Linked DNA regions of Sus scrofa. The protein of the gene in region 1 purifies or fractionates together with the protein of each later gene. This does not show direct contact. Links are inferred from orthologs where the notes say so. Each region holds a gene or a part of one and is shown on either strand. Other genes may lie near its edges.

Region 1 (3,744 bases):
GGGGTCGAATCGGAGCTGTAGCCGCCGGCCTACACCACAGCCACACCAATGTGGAATCCGAGCACCATCTGTGACCTACACCACAGCTCACAACAATGCCGGATCCTTTTTTTTGGCTTTTTGCCTTTTCTAGGGCCACTCCCCTGGCATATAGAGGTTCCCAGGCTAGGGAGTCTAATCAGAGCTGCAACCGCCAGCCACAGCCACAGCCACAGCAACGCGGGATCTGAGCCGCATCTGCGACCTACACCACAGCTCACAGCAACGCTGGATCCTTAGCCCACTGAGTAGGCCAGGGATTGAACGCGCAACCTCATGGTTCTTAGTCAGATTTGTTAACCACTGAGCCATGACAGGAACTCCAGCAATGCCGGATCCTTAACCCACTGCACAAGGCCAGGGATCGAACCTGCAACCTCATGGATACTAACTGGGTTTGTTACTGCTGGGAACTGTTCATGGGCTGAGATATACTTCCAGGAAAGTTATTTCCAGAATTTACAGCAACATGGAGAAACCCTTACAAAAGTGAAAATGGCAGGAATAAACAAATCTGTATCCTCCAAACCTCAACTGCCATGTGAGCTCGTGGCCCAGAGAGAAGTTACAGGTAAGGTGTTTCTTTCAAGCTGATGTCCACTCACTGAGAGCGAGAGGGACATATCTGTGTACTGGGTGTGTGCTACCACACAGAGGCTGTGCTGAGGAACCGCATGGATTGGGATGCTAAGGGCTTAGCTAACATCTGGAAAGACAGCAGTGAAGCTGCAGAGGCCCAGTGCGAGCTACCCTGCTTCTCCCTCCCCAATCCAGATTCACTCACCCGTTGTCTCCACCAAATACATAGATGGCATCTTTATAGGCCACCACTGTGTGTTTGCTGCGCCTGGAAAGAGAGAGGGAGGTGGTGGTGAGGCCAGGACCCTCCTGAGGGGTCACCCAAAGAATGAGACTCGGCACTGGGGCTGCCAAAGAATTCAGATGACACCTCTCAACTGCCAAGATCGATGGAGACCCCAATATTCCAGCAGTATTCTAAAGGACTCTGCATGTGGGGACTCCTGACACTCCCAACCCACTGCAGAGCACCTGGAACCCCATCTGGAGACCCACAGACACAATGTAACTCTAATACTCTGCCCTGGGCCACCCCACTCGGAGACTCCCTCGGGAGCCCCTCCCTTGCCCTGGACACGGACCTGGACCCACCTCACCCAACACACACCAGGTCTCGCCCCAGGAAACCACAGCCCAGCCTGGCCCAGGGGCCTGCCTGGGACCTCCTCAGACACCCCCCAGGACCCCCGCGCCCCGCCTACCGGGCCCCCACGAACTCGTCGCAGGGCGGGAGGCGCCGCCAACGATGCACTGTCTCAAAGGGCCCGAAGTTGAGCGTCAGGTACTCGACACTGTCCGAGCAGCTGTGGTCAAAGTCCACACTCGGGGCCACTTTGGACCGAGCTCCACCGGCCAGGGCCCCGGCCCCGATCGGGGCCCCCGAGCCACCGGGCCCAGCCATGCCGGGTCCACGCCCGATGGGCCACCGGGTCCGCTGGACGTGAGGCCACCGCCCCGGGCTGCTTCGAGAGACTACATTTCCCGGCGAGCCTTGGGCCGACGTCGCCGCACTGCCGGCCGCCCGCTTTTCCGGGAGAGCCTCACCGACCCAGTGGCTTGGCAGGCCGGATTGTGCGGCGAGCGCATAGACTTCCGGGAAGAGCTTCCCGCGGAGGTCGGGCGTGCGGTTCCCCCTCCAGCGAGCGCGGCGCCCTGGCCACAACCCCTCCCGGCCCGCACTTCCCCGGCGCGGCTCCCAGCATGCCCTGTGCGCATGGCTCGGTTTCGATCGTCCGCCGCGCCCGGGATCCCGGACGGAGGGTTCCGGGCTCGCAGTGGCCTCCGCGGGCCGCCCCACCATCCCCTTCTTGCTCTGTCCCTGGCCCGGCCCCCGCATCTCCCCATGGCGTTCTTTTTGGCTGGGAGACTGCGTGCACAGAGGCTCTGGATTCTCGGTCCTACTCTGGCAGAGCTTCAGCTGCTTCACCTACGAAATGGGCATTCAGGAAGCTCAGGCTGGGTCCGTCTCCGGACTCATTGCTCGAACCTTAATGGGCAAACACCCCCAACTGCTAAGCGCGAGTTCCCACTGTCCTCTGAAGAAGCATTCCCTGTCTCGGGCTTTATGCATGTGCTTTCCCTCTGCTTGGAGTGCCATTTCTTCAAAATCCAGATCCAAGACATGGGGCAGAATCAGTTGCTATCTCCTCTGGGCCAAAATTCCTTGGTGAAACACTGGGTGTTCTGTGGTCTCTGGTCATGCCTGTCTCCCCATCATCTGCTTTCTCCCTTGGGGGAGTTTGCCCAATTACAGTGGAAGTCACACAGATCTGCAAATGTGTGTGTTTTAATGTTAAGATACTGTCTAACATGTCACAGGGTCCTACAGGGAACCAGTCCCAGTAGAGGGATAGGAGGGCAGGCCTATCAATGCCACTGGATGCCTTGGGTGGTGAGCTTCTCCTGGAGGCCACTGGGGCCTCTCTGGAGGGGAACCAGGCAGCTGAAGCCAAACACTGGGAGGGCTCAGGTTCTGCCCTGGAGGATCCTGGGGAACTGGAGGTTGGCACTTGCCCCCCTGGCTTGGCCTCTGTCCCTGGGACCCCAGCATGCCTGCCCGAGTCCGCTGCATGCAAGTTCAGGATCCTTTCCCTGTGAGCCAGGACATGTCGCCGGTCCTGCAGGAATGAGGGAGGAGGAGTGAGAGCAGGAGGGAGCAGGCTCCCCACGGGGCACCGTGAGCAGCTGGACCTTGAAGACAGAAGAGGGCTGTGCAAGGCCCTGGCACCCAGCAGGGGTGTGTACTTGGGCAGGTGGGGAAGGCTCAGAGGGAAGAGGGGATGTACGTACTTGCTGTGCAGCAGAAACAGTCTTTGCGAAGGCAAGAGGGAAAGACAGAGAAGGCTGGGGAGACATCATGTCATTCACCATGTCCCCACTTGGTTCTCCATGTTTCCAGCCTGAGCCTCCTCCCCTGACCCCATCTCATGGCCTCCAGGGCTTCCTCAGTCCTGGGGGTTCTCTATAGGCGGGTGGAGTCCACAGGGTGACTCCCATTGGCACCATGCCCAGATGAGAGTAATGACTGGTGTCCAGTGGCTCACTGGACAGACCCTGAACAACCATCCCCCACCTCTGTGCAGGGTGCCCCAGAAGCAACACAAGCCACATCCTGCTGCCCTATAATTGAGTTCAGCCATGTTCAATGGGGTGTCCCGGCCCCAGTGACTGCCCAAGCAGTGAGTCTTGACCCATCCACACAGCACTGGCTTTGCCCTTGGACACGGCCTCTTTCCCTTCTATCCCCCAAGAGCACAAATAACCAGCCCACTCCCAAACCATAAGCCTTGCCCCACACCAGGCCATCGTTCTGGGAGCCTGAGACTGATTGAGACTGAGGTGGCCAAGTGGAGAGGGGGAGGACCCTCGAGGGCTGTGGAGGGAGCTTGAGCCAGCACCTCAGGGGACTTTTTCCCCTTTCCCCAAGATCCCCAGAGCCCACACTCACTCCACCTCCCGTTTCCGGATGCTGCGGCCAGAGGCCAGCACCTCAGCCACCTTAGACACGATGGGATCGTAGTTCATGCTGGCCACGGAGATCACTTCGTCGCCTCTGCAGGGAGAGGTAGTAGCCAAGCCTGAGGACAGCCCAGTGGCAGCCCCTGTCCTTGGAGACCTGAGTCCACC
Region 2 (3,744 bases), on another chromosome or scaffold:
CACTCTCGTCTCAGAGAGCCATTGCTGTTTTTATTGCCCGTCTAAGCTCCTTGTCTTCAAGTGGGTCAGAGAAAACTGCTTGATCAAAAGCTGGTCAGAACTCATCACAGAAATGAAACCCAGTGGTCTGTCTCTCTCAGAACTGGTTGCAGCGAAAATAGAGAGATTTGACTGCTCGCAATAGAATGGTGGACTTAGTGACTGAGATTGCGACTTGTCCTTTTTCTTGGCATTACAGGTTTTGCCAAAAGAACTTTTTTTGTATCAAATATTGATGTGTGAAAGTGAAGGAGCTAGTCTGCTGAACCAGGAGTAGTTTGAGATATTGAACTATCATTTTTGCACATTTGAATACTTTGCAGGCTGGCTTTGTATAAATGTATCCTCTGGTTTCCTATATGTTGTAAATATTTAGAACATAATTTCATTATAAATAAATGTATAAATATTCTGCTTGTGGTTTCTCTGTTCTTTCTTCCACAACGTATCCATGCACTAAAATTCATAAACTTTTTTGCTCACAGCATACTATAACCCCCATCAGAAAAATACATACCTGGACCCAAGAGTTTGCATTTAGTTCCAAGTTGTTGTTTTTTGTTTTTTTAATTTTTTTCTTTTAGTTCCAAGTGTTTTATGACTTTTCAAAGTAAACCCTGCAAAGTCCAAGTGAAATGTAAAGGATTGTTATGGTGGATGTTTTTCCTTTTCATTTTCTTGCCCTCCTTTATTGAATGTGGTTAAAAGGACTGAGTGAAAGTATTCTTTTTCTTTTTTTGGCTTTTTAGGGCTGCACCCATTGCATATGGAAGTTTCCAGGCTAGGGGGTGAATCGGAGCTGTAGTTGCCGGCCTACACCACAGCCACAGCAGTGCCGAATCTGAGCCACAGTTCGCGGCAACTCTGGATCCTTAACCCACTGAGCAAAGTCAAGGATCGAACCTGTGTCCTTATGGGTGCTAGTTGGGTTCATTCCCACTGAGCCACCACGGGAACTCCAGGAAATATAAGTATTCTTGGAAAAACATGCTTAGAAAGGAAGAAGGATGGGCAGAAGTTGCAACAGAAAATTTTGCCCATATAAAGTTCCTTCTAGTACTTCTATGTGTTACCCACCTAAATACAGGTGAACAGAATTGATAGTGTCTTAATTTATTGCTGTAAAGTCAAAGCCAGGTGCTTTTTTTTGTTACTAAGCAATAACACCTTGGTCCTGTTTGGGGGGGGGGTTGGCAGGTGCCCATTTCCTCATTACATTTGGCCAAATTTGTTTTTCTCATAAATGGTCCTGGGCAAGTTGTTATTGTAGAAGTCTCCAGTGTGCCCCTTATCACATCCTCCTTGCTTGACTTTGGTGTAAATAGTTTTGTGGCAGAGGGGGGCGCTGAGTGTGGCACTCCCCCAGGGCCTTCAGCGATGAGCGGGGTTTGAGGACCTGGCAGGAGATGGTCCTCCCCGGAGGAGGCGGGGCCAGTCCCCTGCGTCACGAGGGCGGCCCCGCCCCTCCTGCTGAGACGCGGGCGCTGCTGGCGCCATCTTCCCCAGCTGCGGGAGGGGTCACAGGTCAGTGCCAGATCCTCGCCGCGAATGAGGAGGACCGAGGACGAAGTGGGTGATCAGACCCGGCAGTGGCCTTAACCTTCCGACGGGTACGAGCAGCGGAGGGGTTGGCTTGTGAGGCGGAAGGGTGGGGGGCTTGATGGCGGCGCGAGGTGCTGCCGGGGGAGGAGAGCAGCCTCCGAGGGGAATGGAGAGGGGGCTGAACCTCCGGGTACCGCGGGCTTGAGAGGAAACCCTGAGGCCTAAGTCCCAAACTGCACTTTCTCACTGGGCTCCCTCCTGCTGTGCCGGCGTCCCAGTCTGCAAAGAAATGCCAAATTTCTTTGTCTCTTTTTATTCTTTTTTGAAAAAAAGTAGTAATTCAGAAAATCTATGATATGTCATGGGTCTGAGCTGCCCTGGAGGGAAGGTGAGGCTACGTGTTGCCTGAGGGTCGCCAGAAAGGGAGCAGGGGTAGGGCACTGGCTCTAGGACTGTCGTCACGGGGTCTCCATCCTGGATTAAATATTTTCTTTCTTTCCAGGTGCCTTTTCCTCCGGGCAGCCCAGGATTCTCCAAGAGGACAATGGATTCTGGAACTCGCCCAGTTGGTAGCTGTAACAGCCCTGCAGGGCTGTCACGGGAATACAAACTAGTGATGCTAGGTGCTGGCGGTGTAGGGAAAAGCGGTAGGTGACATTTTCCATTTTAAAGAAGTAAGAATGAAAAATGCTCACAACAGATGCCCTCCCCGAAAACCAAGTAGGAGACTGTCCTGCAATATTGATACTTGCAGTTCTTTCTGTTGGTCATCTTTGTATTTATTTTAACTTTCGCTTCTTGTTTTAAAGCCATGACCATGCAGTTCATCAGCCACCGATTTCCAGAAGATCATGACCCCACCATTGGTAAGTCAGACTGTCACTTAGGTTTTTCCACTAAACCCCATAAAAAGGCCTTGGTGTCAGTTTTTGAAACAGTTTTAGACCATTTATATTTTGAGCCTTTTGGGTGTCTGGTTTAGATTTACTTAACAAGAATAACATGGCAGTTGATAAGCAAATGACTTTTTTTTCTTAGCTTAACTTTATATGTACATAAGCCATCTTAGTCTGTTTTTTATTAAATATTACTGGGACACTTTGTTTTATTTTTATGGTTGCTCTACTGTATCGTCAGATTAAAGGAAAAGTTTAAAGGCCACTTAACAGAAGGCTTTTGCTATCATTTCTTTAAGGGTCTGATTTGAGACTAACTCTGTAACTATGAGTCAGCTGGTCTGAACTTCCACAAAAGGAAGCAGAAAAACAAGTAGAGCCAGCCTGCTGAACTCTTACAACCCAGACATGCAGAGCCTGGACTTGTTCCACTAGAAGCCCTTCATTTACTTCCTTATACCTCAAGTTCATTACACAGCAAGGTCTTTCTTCACGTCTTCTATAATCTTAATGCTCTATTGTTAGTAAACCACTGTTAGTAAGTAAAAACTAATTTTCTTGTGCCCTTTTTTTTTTTCTTTTTTTAGCTGCTATTCGCCATAGACCTTAGGAATGTTACTGTCATTCCTGGACCATAAGGAAGCAGATTTGATTTTAAGGGGTTATTTCCCAGTGAAGAAGAAAAATGGTGATGGGGGTAGAGGAGGGCACAGAAGTTCTGCCATATCACTTGTATTTTCAGGATGTGACACTTTTGTTGTGATCCTGAGTCTCTAGGAAGGATTTCCCATTGGGTCAGGACTCTACTGCTCTTTTTCATAAAGCCAATAATTTTTCTGTGCCAACCTACCTTTGGTTGTTACCATTTTATATAGTAGATGCTTCTGTGGCTTGGGGAAAAATAGAAACAGTTCTTATTTTTCATGTACTATGTTAAATTTAGAACATTGTTCAGGAATTCACACTACAGTGGGAATTTTAGGAATAAAATTAATTTAGGGCTTAAGATAATTTACTTAGAACTCCAGAATATCTTTTCCTTTCTTTAAAGTAAAACTCATATACTTGTCCCCTAAAAGACTTTTTTTTTTTTGGTCTCTTTAGGGCTACACCCTTGGCATATGGAAGTTCCCAGGCTAGGGGTTGAATTCGAGCTGCAGCTGCTGGCCTGTGTCACGGCAACGCCAGATCTGAGCCTCATCTGTGACCTGCACCACAGCTCAGGGCAACGCCAGATCCTTAACCCATTGAGCAAGGCCAGGGATTG

What was found. Proteins that work in one complex are often made in the same cells at the same time.
Region 2: the proteins of LZTR1 (region 1) and RIT1 purify together in Homo sapiens (affinity purification with mass spectrometry; 3 studies listed by BioGRID and IntAct, counting the BioPlex papers as one, with this or other methods). This does not show direct contact. The link is inferred for Sus scrofa from reciprocal best matches to the Homo sapiens genes LZTR1 and RIT1.

The regions. Positions count from the first base shown.
Region 1 is NC_010456.5:50,574,918-50,578,661, reverse strand, and holds the start of LZTR1 (leucine-zipper-like transcriptional regulator 1), read right to left. Parts: upstream 2,250-3,744; 5' UTR 1,955-2,249; coding exon 1,320-1,954; intron 887-1,319; coding exon 824-886; intron 1-823. Other genes in the region: AIFM3 (apoptosis-inducing factor 3), read right to left, coding at 2,696-2,735, 3,566-3,670. UniProt on the Homo sapiens protein: Substrate-specific adapter of a BCR (BTB-CUL3-RBX1) E3 ubiquitin-protein ligase complex that mediates ubiquitination of Ras (K-Ras/KRAS, N-Ras/NRAS and H-Ras/HRAS).
Region 2 is NC_010446.5:94,116,210-94,119,953, forward strand, and holds the start of RIT1 (GTP-binding protein Rit1), read left to right. Parts: upstream 1-1,511; 5' UTR 1,512-1,649; intron 1,650-2,079; exon of another isoform or gene 2,080-2,083; 5' UTR 2,084-2,125; coding exon 2,126-2,228; intron 2,229-2,390; coding exon 2,391-2,447; intron 2,448-3,744.